3 linked regions of the Macaca mulatta genome follow. The protein of the gene in region 1 binds, or shares a complex with, the protein of each later gene. Links are inferred from orthologs where the notes say so. Each region holds a gene or a part of one and is shown in the gene's direction. Other genes may lie near its edges.

What was found. The genes of interacting proteins can lie anywhere in the genome.
Region 2: NSMCE3 (region 1) and SMC5 share a complex: the UniProt entries of both Homo sapiens proteins name them as parts of the SMC5-SMC6 complex. The link is inferred for Macaca mulatta from reciprocal best matches to the Homo sapiens genes NSMCE3 and SMC5.
Region 3: the proteins of NSMCE3 (region 1) and NSMCE1 are in contact, whole or in part, in a crystal structure (PDB 7DG2), measured with the Xenopus laevis proteins. The link is inferred for Macaca mulatta from reciprocal best matches to the Homo sapiens genes NSMCE3 and NSMCE1. Residues at the interface, in XP_018121157.1 of Xenopus laevis: Gly57, Glu58, Val60, Gln61, Tyr62, Leu64, Ile65, Lys66, Gln68, Lys69, Val82, Thr100, Gln102, Gln103, Val104, Phe105, Gly106, Phe107, Asn123, Leu125, Gln126, Arg127, Val128, Gly130, Asp131, Gly132, Met133, Arg134, Asp136, Glu137; in NP_001083134.1 of Xenopus laevis: Ile5, Glu7, Gln10, Arg11, Leu13, Gln14, Ala15, Met17, Ser18, His19, Leu30, His33, Leu37, His38, Leu54, His57, Leu58, Pro60, Leu61, Phe62, Met63, Val84, Asn86, Ile88, Thr89, Met91, Ala92, Ser93, Asp94, Gln149.

The regions. Positions count from the first base shown.
Region 1 is NC_133412.1:9,161,424-9,164,791, forward strand, and holds NSMCE3 (non-structural maintenance of chromosomes element 3 homolog), read left to right. Parts: upstream 1-1,175; 5' UTR 1,176-1,269; coding exon 1,270-2,169; 3' UTR 2,170-2,777; downstream 2,778-3,368. UniProt on the Homo sapiens protein: Component of the SMC5-SMC6 complex, a complex involved in repair of DNA double-strand breaks by homologous recombination. The complex may promote sister chromatid homologous recombination by recruiting the SMC1-SMC3 cohesin complex to double-strand breaks.
Region 2 is NC_133420.1:101,264,782-101,268,529, forward strand, and holds the start of SMC5 (structural maintenance of chromosomes protein 5), read left to right. Parts: upstream 1-1,523; 5' UTR 1,524-1,626; coding exon 1,627-1,811; intron 1,812-3,748. UniProt on the Homo sapiens protein: Core component of the SMC5-SMC6 complex, a complex involved in repair of DNA double-strand breaks by homologous recombination.
Region 3 is NC_133425.1:26,814,765-26,818,512, reverse strand, and holds the start of NSMCE1 (non-structural maintenance of chromosomes element 1 homolog), read left to right. Parts: upstream 1-1,323; 5' UTR 1,324-1,933; exon of another isoform or gene 1,934-2,020; intron 2,021-3,748. UniProt on the Homo sapiens protein: RING-type zinc finger-containing E3 ubiquitin ligase that assembles with melanoma antigen protein (MAGE) to catalyze the direct transfer of ubiquitin from E2 ubiquitin-conjugating enzyme to a specific substrate.

The DNA.
Region 1 (3,368 bases):
ATTGCTTTCCTTTGAATATATTTGCATTAAAGAGGAACTCGATTTGGTTCTTTGAAGAGTTTATCCACTTTCTGGGTAGCTTTAAAAAGACACAGGGAAATTCAGTTTCTTCTTTGCAAGTCAATAAATAGAGAAGAAACAAATTTGCTAAGATCTATAGAAGTAATGGCAGCAGATTGCTGATGGTTTGAGTTAATGAAATGACTCATTTTGGCTACTTGAGTTGCACAATTAAAATATACATAGACTGCACACATCATAGATGAGGGATAAATACCCTTGTGTTCTCTTTTCTTTCTCAAAGCTAATATATTATGAATTAAGAAATTTAAGAGATCCACATTATTGCAATTCTTGATCAGTGATGCCCAAAATTAAGTGGTAATCTCTTGAGAGTGCACGTTTGCAGCATTCCTCTTACGCATTTCTGCTAAAATTGTGGCTGTGAGCCGAAGACAGTTGTTTTCCAAAGGATAAACTCATTTGACCAAGCTAAAACATTTACTTAATATTGACAAGTTTTGTGGGGTTTTCTCATAGTTGTCTAGCTAAAGGAGTTTAATGCAGAGAATACACATACGGAAATAGTGAAACCGAAGTCCTGCTTGCGCGGAAAGCCTGCAGCAGACTTTTGTTTTTAACAAACTCCACGGGGCATTAGAGAAAGTAACTGGGGGCAGTGGGTTGGAGGGTATAAAATTGAGCGGAGGGACGAAAACTAAGAGCCCTCTGGGTTTTTTATATCCTTCTACATGTTGTGTAGAAATAAATGCTTTTACTTCCACGGTCGTACCTTCCTCTTCACCTTTTTTTTTTCTTTCTCACACATTCATCCTGTGAGATCTTTTCATTTACAAATGCTCCCGATTTAGAATTAGAAACTCATAATACCGTCTGTAAAACTTGCCTGAGCCTGTCTGGTCCTGAATTTAGCGACACACTTGTTTAGGAGTTTCGGTTCTCGTTCTCTGCTTGCATGGTTTAGTAAGAACAACACTTCGATATACTGAAATTCACCGACCAGACCTGCAGGGCTGCACAGAAATATCTGATGCTTTTGGTACCCCCAGCCCCGCAGCCGCGCAGGCGCACCGCCCAGCCGCCGTGACGCAAGGCGCAGGCTTCATGACGCGGCACGCAGTCTCAGCCGACACTGCGCGCCCCTTCTGGGGCCCCGCCCAGGCAGCGGCCTTAGCGGGTCGCCGACCCACGATCCCAGCCGCGGCTGCTTGCTTGCCGGAGTGTGCACCGGTACGCGTCGCCGGTGACATGTTGCAAAAACCGAGGAACCGGGGTCGCTCTGGCGGCCAGGCCGAGAGGGACAGCGACTGGAGCCGTGGCGGAAACTCCGGGGCCTCGCGGGCGGGCGAACACGCCCGGGCCCGCAGAGACGGCTTCGCAGAGGAGGCCCCGAGCACTTCCCGGGGGCCGGGCGGCTCGCAGGGGTCGCAGGGCGCCCGCCGGTCCCAGGCCTCCCCCGCCGTGGGCCCCAGGACCCAGAAGCAGCAGGAGCTGAAAGTGTCCGAGCTGGTGCAGTTCTTACTGATTAAGGACCAGAAGAAGATTCCGATCAAGCGGGCCGACATACTGAAGCACGTCATCGGGGACTACAAGGACATCTTCCCCGACCTCCTCAAACGGGCCGCCGAGCGCCTCCAGTACGTCTTCGGTTATAAGCTGGTGGAACTTGAACCCAAGAGCAACACTTATATCCTCATCAACACCCTGGAGCCGGTGGAGGAGGATGCCGAGGTGAGGGGTGACCAAGGCACGCCCACTACGGGCCTCCTGATGATCGTCCTGGGGCTCATCTTTATGAAGGGCAACACCGTCAAGGAGACTGAAGTCTGGGACTTTCTGCGGCGCTTAGGGGTCTACCCCACCAAGAAGCATTTCATTTTCGGAGATCCAAAGAAACTCATTACCGAGGACTTTGTGCGACAACGTTACCTGGAATACCGGCGGATACCCCACACCGACCCCGTGGACTACGAGTTCCAGTGGGGCCCGCGAACCAACCTGGAAACCAGCAAGATGAAAGTTCTTAAGTTTGTGGCCAAAGTCCATAATCAAGACCCCAAGGACTGGCCAGCGCAGTACTGTGAGGCGTTGGCAGATGAGGAGAACAGGGCCAGACCTCAGCCCAGTGGCTCAGCCCCATCCTCTTGAAATCTGAGGTGGATTCAGAGGGACCCCCGGGACAAGGGTCTGAGACCCAAAGGCACAGTGCAGAGGAGCGGGGGAAGGGAGAACGAACCCAGGAAGCGTATTTCTGTAGCGTTTCAATGTGTGTAGCTTTAGGATGTGTTTGCAAAGTTTTGTTCTTTTAATGTTGTGTTATTTGGTTCCAGATTTTCATCTATAAACAAAAGAGCATTTGTTTTGCTTTGATTTTACTTTTTTTGGTATAAAAAATTTTCCTAGCTTAGTAAAACGAATTGGAAAACTTGACTATGATCTGAAACAGATATGCCAGAAGGAACACATAAGTAAGTTGCTTTGGTGCCAAGAAAATAAAAAAGTAGCTATTATCGGGTCTCTTAAGCATCCCAGTTTGTAAGGAAAAATAAAAGTCTTTATAAAATTAAAAATAAAAACGTAATTGCCTATATCCTTATTACCTTAACCTATTTTATTTTTTCTATATTTCCTACATATGTAAGTATTATTCATGGTTCCAAGCAATGAACGTGGTGTATTTTCTCCAAATAGCAATTGTTTATATTCATAATTACTCAGCTGTGTTGCTAAACATGCAGTTCCACTTAGTTTTTTTTACATGCTACTCTAGTTATTACAATAAATACTGTATTTTTGAAGCACTGAAGCATTGTGTGTGTTTTAAATCGTGGGCCATGAGACAATTTCATGACGAAATCAGCGTCTTAAAGTTTTTGCAACATATTGAGGTCAATGTTGTTTTGTAGAAGTTGTTTTACTTTTGTGTGTGTGTGTACAGGATCATGAGGTAAAATATATTTCTACTGTGGATACCAAAAAGGCTTATAAAACAATAGCGTAACCATTAACCATGCCTGCTTGGGAATCAGACTGCCTGGGTTCAGATCCTGGCCCCACCGTCACTAGTATAGGAATTTACGTAGGTTCCTTAGTTTGTATGCAGATGTTTCTTGACCTGTAAAATGGGTTTAGTCCCTGATGTGGAGGAATTTGCTTGTTATTCTTTAATGTTTTTATTTTTTATTCTCGGTCTGGAGCTGCCACTTTTTAAATACAACTTTTCTTTATCTTGTTTTCCAAATGATTCCTAGGAGAGCAATTACTGGTTCAAAAGGTATATTCCACTAGTCTGACTCTATTGTATGGGGAAATAAGTATAAAGTGTATGGTGAGTATAGCCCACATAG
Region 2 (3,748 bases), on another chromosome or scaffold:
AATTCTTTTGCCTGGGGTGCTCTTTTCTCAGATGCCACAGTTTCCTCTTGTCCTTCAGGGTTTATCTTAAACATCACCACCTCTAAGAGACCTTCCGTACCTCCCACCCATCAGGTTCATTTTGTTTTCTTCCTAACACCTGTCACAGTCTGAAATTATCCTAATCATTTGTTGTGTCAACCTTAAGTAGTGAAATTTATAAAATAACATTAAGTAGAGTTTATTCTAACGCAAAGCTTGAGGACAGCCACCTGGAAACACCAACTCCAAACAAATAAGGTCAATGTTCCAAAGTGAAGTTAAGGTTTCATTTACGTAGGCAGAAGCAGAGAAGGTTCAGCAGGAGTACATTTTCAATACAAGACCAAAGCATAAAACACAGCGACTAGATTAGTTATAGATATCTCCATTCCAAGGAGGATAACTATATTAATCTATGAAGAGGGATAGTGATCTGAGGGGGTCTTACCTCTGTCTCTGTTTGGTCTTCCTGATTATTTACAGGAAAAAACAAGGCAGACATTGCAGCTGTACGCCATAGGACTCAGGCCCCGTAGCCACATTCTTCGCAAGGCTCTGAATAATTTCAAGTTCCAACAGCTTTAAGTTGGAATTTTTTAATTTCAGTTGATTCACTTGTTCTTTTCCTGTCTCCCACAACAGAAAATAAGTTCCCAGGGATGCAACCTTGGCAGGCTTCTAAACTGCCACGGCTCCAGTTTCTTGTAGGTTAGACATTATTAGTTGAAGGAAAGATCTAGGCAGGCCTCGGTGCGCCGCCTCCTCTTTAATGCGAGGGCTTACTAGATGAATGTGAGCAGACGGAAGCAGAACCACCCTGTTAATGAAGGCTGCGCATTCTAGCTCAGGGATTTCTAGAAACTTCGGGGGCGGAAGTTTAACCAGAGAATTAGGAGGCAAGGAGCAGAGAAGCAATGAGGATAACCTGTGCAGTGTAGTCGTTCCACGAGTTTGAGAACGCCTAGCACGATGCCTTCACGGAGCGTCGGGCAGAGTTATTTGAGAGTATTTCTTTTTCGGGGTTTTTGAGACAGGGACCTGATTTGAAGCAACGGGGAAGAAAACCAAGAGGACGAAGAGCCAAGGATGGGCGTGCCCGGGAGCTCTCAGGCGGGCACCTGGAAGGGGTGGGAGCAAGCAGGGCCTAACGTACCCCTGGCCTTGGCGGCCCTGGACGCCCCTGGTGCCCCCCACAGCTGCCTCCCACCACACATGACTGAGGCTCGGGAAGCAATAAAGTGGCTTTCAAAATACTAAATGCAATTGACATCTTTTCCTGAGTGGAAAAAAAAAAAAAGGATCTGAATGCTGAAATATACAGAGAAGAAACTCCCGTTGCCACGTCCCCCGAGGTCCCCACTCAGTCCCGTCTGCTGCTCCGCCCTTAGTCGGGCCCTAGTTCTGCGAGGCGGAGAGCAGGAGGCGCTGGGTGGGCCCGCTGACGCTCCGGATCTGAACTGCGCAGGCGCGGCGCGAGATCGCGGGAGCGAGCGCGCGGGAGCAGTTCGCGGCAGTTCGCGCGGGAGCCGGGCGCTGGGGCGCTTGGGCGCCTGGGCTGCCGGACGGTGGGAACGGAAGTCGCTGTGGGGCGCTGAGAAAGCCAGGATGGCGACTCCAAGCAAGAAGACGTCAACTCCAAGCCCCCAGGCTTCCAAGAGAGCTCTCCCGAGAGACCCTTCGTCGGAGGTCCCGAGCAAGAGGAAGAATCCGGCCCCGCAGCTGCCGCTGGTGCAGTCGTCCGGGCCTTTCGTGGAGGGCTCTATCGTCCGTATCTCGATGGAGAACTTCCTGTGAGTGGCCGGGAGGCCGCGCCGCGGGTGTGGAGGCGTGCGGTCCAGCAGGCCCCGGGGCGCCGGCTGCGCGCGGGCGTGGGCGTGTGGGTGTGTACCTGGCTTGTGGGTCTGGCCTTGAATTCGTGCCGGGGTTCCCATGAGGATTTTTCTACGAAGGCTGTGGAGATTGACGTGTATGATGTAGATGTGTGCCTTACGTGATGTGGTTTTTAAATTTAGTCCGCCAAGGTTTTCCAAAAGCGTCTTGTAGCAGGTAGTAGTTGTACGAGGGAGTAGGTCTCTGCCCGCTGGGAGTCGCGATCCATAGCGGCCCTGGTCTGTAATTCACAGAAGTATTGTCCCCGGGAATTTACGAGGAGGCAACAGTTAATTCGGCGTGGTGGGGATGCTGTGGCAGATTCTTAGGGTAGGCATTTGCCACAGAGGAGTAGATAAGACGGTAAAGGTTGTTTGGGATGGGAGGTTACAAGTACAAAAAAATTAAACCTTCCTGGCAATTGTTGGATCTTGACCCTTGACCCCTTGACCCCTCTAAACCCAGCTTTCTTCCCTGGTTCCTCCCTCTCTCCTTCAGACAACTAGTTATCACTTTAGAATTTAGTAAGTTTTAAATATATCATGTATTTGCCTAGCACCTCACAGTGAATCTGTTCCAAGTCGTCTTTTTTTTTTTTTGAGACGGAGTTTCGCTCTTGTCGCCCACGGTGGATGGAGTGCTGTGGCGCTACCTCGGCCCGCTGCAACTTCTGCCTCTCGGTTTCAGGCTCCTGGGTCAGCCTCCCGAGTAGCTGGGACTGTAGGTGCGCGCCACCACGCCCGGCTAATTTTTGTTTTTGAGACGGAATCTCATACTGTCGTCCGGGCTGGAGGATAGTGGCGCAATCTCGGCCCACTGCAACCTCCGCCTCCCAGTTTCAAGCGATTCTCCTGCCTCACCGAGTAGCTGGGATTACAGGCACCCCCCACCACGCCCAGCAATTTTTTTGTTGTTGTTGTTGTATTTTTAGTAGACACGGGGTTTCACCATGCTGACCAGGCTGATCTGGAACTTTTGACTTCAGGGGATCTGCACGCCCCCATGGTGCTGGGATTATAGGCGTGAGCCACCGTGTCCGGCCTGAAGTCTTTTTTAAACTTGCACATAGTGGCATAAGGATAACAGAATTGTATTTTAACAATACTACCTTTTTTGTTTTCAGGCACCTGTTGTGTGCCAGGTACACAGTGCACTCATTCTTTCTTCATAACAACTCTATCTTGATAATTTCCATTGCTGAAAGAAGCTCAGTAGGTTGTTTTGCCCAGTTTTACACAGCTGTTAAGTAGTTGCATTGCTATTTGAATCCAGATCAGGAAAGATAAATGTAATCAAATGAGTTAGATACCATAACAACATATATATCAGGATCCTTCACAAAGGATGAAGTGGTTAGTTTTGTCCACGAGTATGAGAAAGGGCTTTGTAGAGAAGATATGAAAGTCTTTGTTCTTGCTCTGTTGCCCACGCTGGAGCTCAGTGGCATGATCAGGGCTCAGTGAAGCCTGTACCTCCCCTTCTCAAGTGATCCTCCTACCTCAGCCTTTCAGGTAGCTGGGACTATAGGCGCATACCATACCTGGCTAATGTTTTAAAAATTTTTTGTAGAGATGGGGTGTCACCATGTTGCCCAGGCAAGTCTCGAACTTCTGGGCTCAAGCAACTCACCTCGGCCTCCCAAAGTGCTGGGATTACAGGCGTGAGCCACTGCACCCGCCTGAGAAGATAGGAAAGTCTTAAAAGAAGTGAAGAGCATTGAAGACAGAAGGAACTGTCTGAAATAGTTTGGTATATTTAGAAAGTGTCAAGTGTTTTAGTAAGGCAAGAGGATAGGATGTGAGTGAGTATTTGGACAGGGTAAGCAACCATTGAGAGACCTGTATGTTTACTATGCTAA
Region 3 (3,748 bases), on another chromosome or scaffold:
ACGGTGAAACCCCATCTCTACTAAAAATACAAAAATTAGCCAGGCGTGGTGGTGGGCGCCCGTAGTCCCAGCTACTTGGGAGGCTGAGGCAGGAGAATGGCGTGTGCCCGGGAGGCGGAGCTTGCAGTGAGCCGAGATGGCGCCACTGCATTCCAGCCTGGGGGTCAGAGCGAGACTCCGTCTCAAAAAAAAAAAAAAAAAAAAAAGGTTGTCCAAGATCACAGGGGTGGTGAGTGACCAAGCCTGTATTTGAGTTATCCTCACAGAGACAGACATTTGCAGGTACCGCTGTTCTATATTAGTTACCTGTTTCCCTTGCTAGGCTGCATCCCTAGCTCTCAGACTAGGGATAGTATACAAACGTTTGGAAAATTAATGCCTTGAAGATTCAAAACAGTCTATTCACTTCCAAGAGTAATTTCACTTGCTTTCTCACAATCCCTAGGTAAGATAATAGTTAACATTTAATCAGCACTCCCATGTGACACTTTTCAGTGGCTATGCTAAGCACCTAAATCTCACCAACACTATTTTGCAAGGACTAATATCCCCATTTAATGGAAGAGGAAACTGAGGCTCAATGACTTGCCCAAGCTTCTGCCAACTAGTAAGTGGCAGAGCCAGGATTCTAGCTCAGGCTGTATGACCACAGAGTCCACATTTTTCTTTTGTTTTTTATGAGACTAAGTCTTGCTCTGTCACCCAGGCTCGAGTGCTGTGATGCGATCTGGCTTACTGCAACCTCTGCCTCTCGGGTTCAAGCAATTCTCCTGCCTCAGCCTCCCGAGTAGCTGGGATTACAGGCACACACCACCACGCCCAGCTAATTTTTGTACTTTTAGTAGTGACGGGGGTTTCACCATGTTGGCAAAGTTGGTCTCGAACTCCTGAACTCAAGTGATCGGCCCGCCTTGGTCTCCCAAAGTGCTGGGCCTACAGGCATGAGCCACCGCGCCCGGCCAGAGTCCACATTTTTGACGACGAGGCCACACTGTCAGTTCCACTGATGGGGAAACTGAGGCCCGGGGCAGGGCACTACATTGTGCCGGCGGAATCGTGGCCAGTGGGGGAAGCACGGGCTACGCGCCGATTCTTCCTCCTTGGTCAGGGAAGTCACTGAGGTGCAGGAGGCGGAGGGCGACAAGTGGAAGCCCCTTCCCATTATTAAGGATGGAGAGCGGCGCAGTAATTGGGATCTAACCCACGAGGCGGAAACACTAGGGAAACGGCGCAAACGGAAAACCGGAAGTGCGTCACCCAACGGACGGGCGAATCGTCTGCAGGCCACCAACGGGAACGCCGCGTTCGCGTTCGCCCCGCCCCAAAGGAAGAAGAGTCCGCCTTGCGACCGTATCCGCTAGCTCAGCGCGGGTTGCGCTTGGGCACCCTGGTGGGTAACGCGGCGCGCTAGGGGGTAGAGGGGAAAGAAGAGGGACTTCGAGGAAGGCGAGGGGAGGACGGAAGGTGGGGTGGGCGAGACAGGCAGTGGGGTCTGGCCCCGTGGTCTATCCTCGTGGGCTGTGGAACTCGGGGACGGGGGTCTTGGGGCTCCCCCTTCTTGATGGGGAAACTGAGGCCCAGAGAGGGGCCGCAGAAGGCAGCGGACTGGGATCTCCTCCCACAACACACACAAAGACATCTAAAAATCGTACTATTTAGTGAAAAATATTTTTAATCGTAATTACGATTTAACAGGTAAGGATACTTTTCATTGTAATAGGTGAAAAAGCAAAATATAAAATTCGATTCAAACTGTGATTACATCTATGGAAAACACAGCCTTCGCCGACCACCCTGTCTGTCCCGCCGCCCTCCGTGCTCCCCTCTGTTTTTGTGTACGGAGTTTCTCACTTTGTACAAGTCCGCAGCCGCTTGTGTTACAGCCCCGAGGCCAGATGCGTTTAAAATCGAGGATTTCTCGGACTTTGGAAAGGTAAAGTGCGTATGTTCTATGTTAGGTTTCACCCTCAGTGGGGGCTGGAGCAGCGGCTTGCAATCAAATACACGACCCTTTCCACAGCTAAAGATATGAAGATATGCATATATTATATTGACCGGGTCGCGGTGGCTCAGGCCTGTAATCCCAGCACTTTGGGAGGCTGAGGCGGGCGAATCACCTGAGGTCCGGAGTTCCAGACCAGCCTGGCTAACATGGTGAAACCCCGCCTGTACTAAAAATACAAAAAATTAGCCGGGCGTGGTGGCGCGTGCCTGTACTACCAGCTACTCGGGAGGCTGAGGCGGGAGGCTGAGGCAGGAGAATCACTTGAACGAGGGAGGCGAAGGTTGTAGTGAGTCAGGATCGCGCCACTTCACTCCAGTTGGGGCAACAAGAGCGAAACTCCGTCTGAAAAAAAAAAAAAGATATGCATATATTTACACTGTTGGGATAAATAACCATGGATAGCCTCACCTTAAGTCAGGTCAAGTTCTCCAACGTAAGAAACAAGTTTTGGTATTCAGACTTTTTTTTTCCCCTGCATCTGATCATCCACTAGTATTCATACCTTTTTAGATTTGAGGGTTGCAGATGAGGGACCTGGATTGTAGCTGTTCTGTTCACTCACTTTTCTCACTCTCACTGGATAAGAGAGTGTCTTTGAGAACAGGAACCGTGCTGTTGTATGGTCACGTCTCTCTCTGCCACCAACTCTTGTGTGTCACCTTGTGCCCTTTTAGTCTCAGTTTCCTCATCTGTAAGATGGGGTCAGTGATCCTTTGCTCATAAGGTGCTGGTTGGGGTTAAATGATGTCGTGCATGTGAAGCACAAGAATTGTGTTAGCACCTGCACGAATGGTATGACTGAGATTTACTTATTCCACAAACATTTATATTTCAAAATTATTAAATTTAAATAAATGTATTATTAAATGAATTAAATGCATTAATTAATTAAAAGTATAGATGTATTTCTTAAAATGTGGGTGATAGGAATGTTAAAGATTTATATAATGCTTCAAAGCCTTAGAAAAGGTTTTCTTTAGTTGGTTTATCTGTATATCTGAACTCTTGAAACTTAAAGCTAAAATACTAGGATTTATCTGCAGGGTTGCAGAGAGATAATTCTGCCTTAAATTGTCTAAAACAAAAACAAAACAAGACAATATGTTATACATGGGATTAAAACCAATTTTTCTCCCATTTTTTCTCCTTTTTTCTTTTGCTGCCCACATTGTGCCTTTATTTTATGAGCCCCATTTTTCTGGGCTTAGTTAAAAAAAAAATTCAATTCTAAACGTTGAATTTAGGGAGTTTTTGTTCTTAAATAAAAAGGCATAGACTTAAAAAAAATAAATGTTTATCCAGGAAAATATGTTGAAATCATGCTGCTGAGCCTCTATTTTCTTTGATGTTTTGGTTCGGTATTCTTTTATCATAAATTCTTAGCATTTAAAAATTTACTGATGTACATTTAAAGCCAATAAACTTTTAATTAATACAAATATATATATATATATATATATATATTTTTTTTTTTTTTTTTTGTGATGGAGTCTCACCCTGTCACCCAGGCTGGAGTGCAGTGGCGCGATCTTGGCTCACTGCAACCTCCAGCTCCTGGGTTCAAGCGATTCTCCTGCCTCAGCCTCCTGAGCAGCTGGGATTACAGGCGTGCACCACCATGCCTGGCTAATTTTTGTATAAAATAGAATTATTTAAGTAGGTGATACATGTATGTCTATGGCTAATCCCACCATTCTCTCCACAGTCTCTTCTCATAGAGACAAGGGATACAATATGCATAAA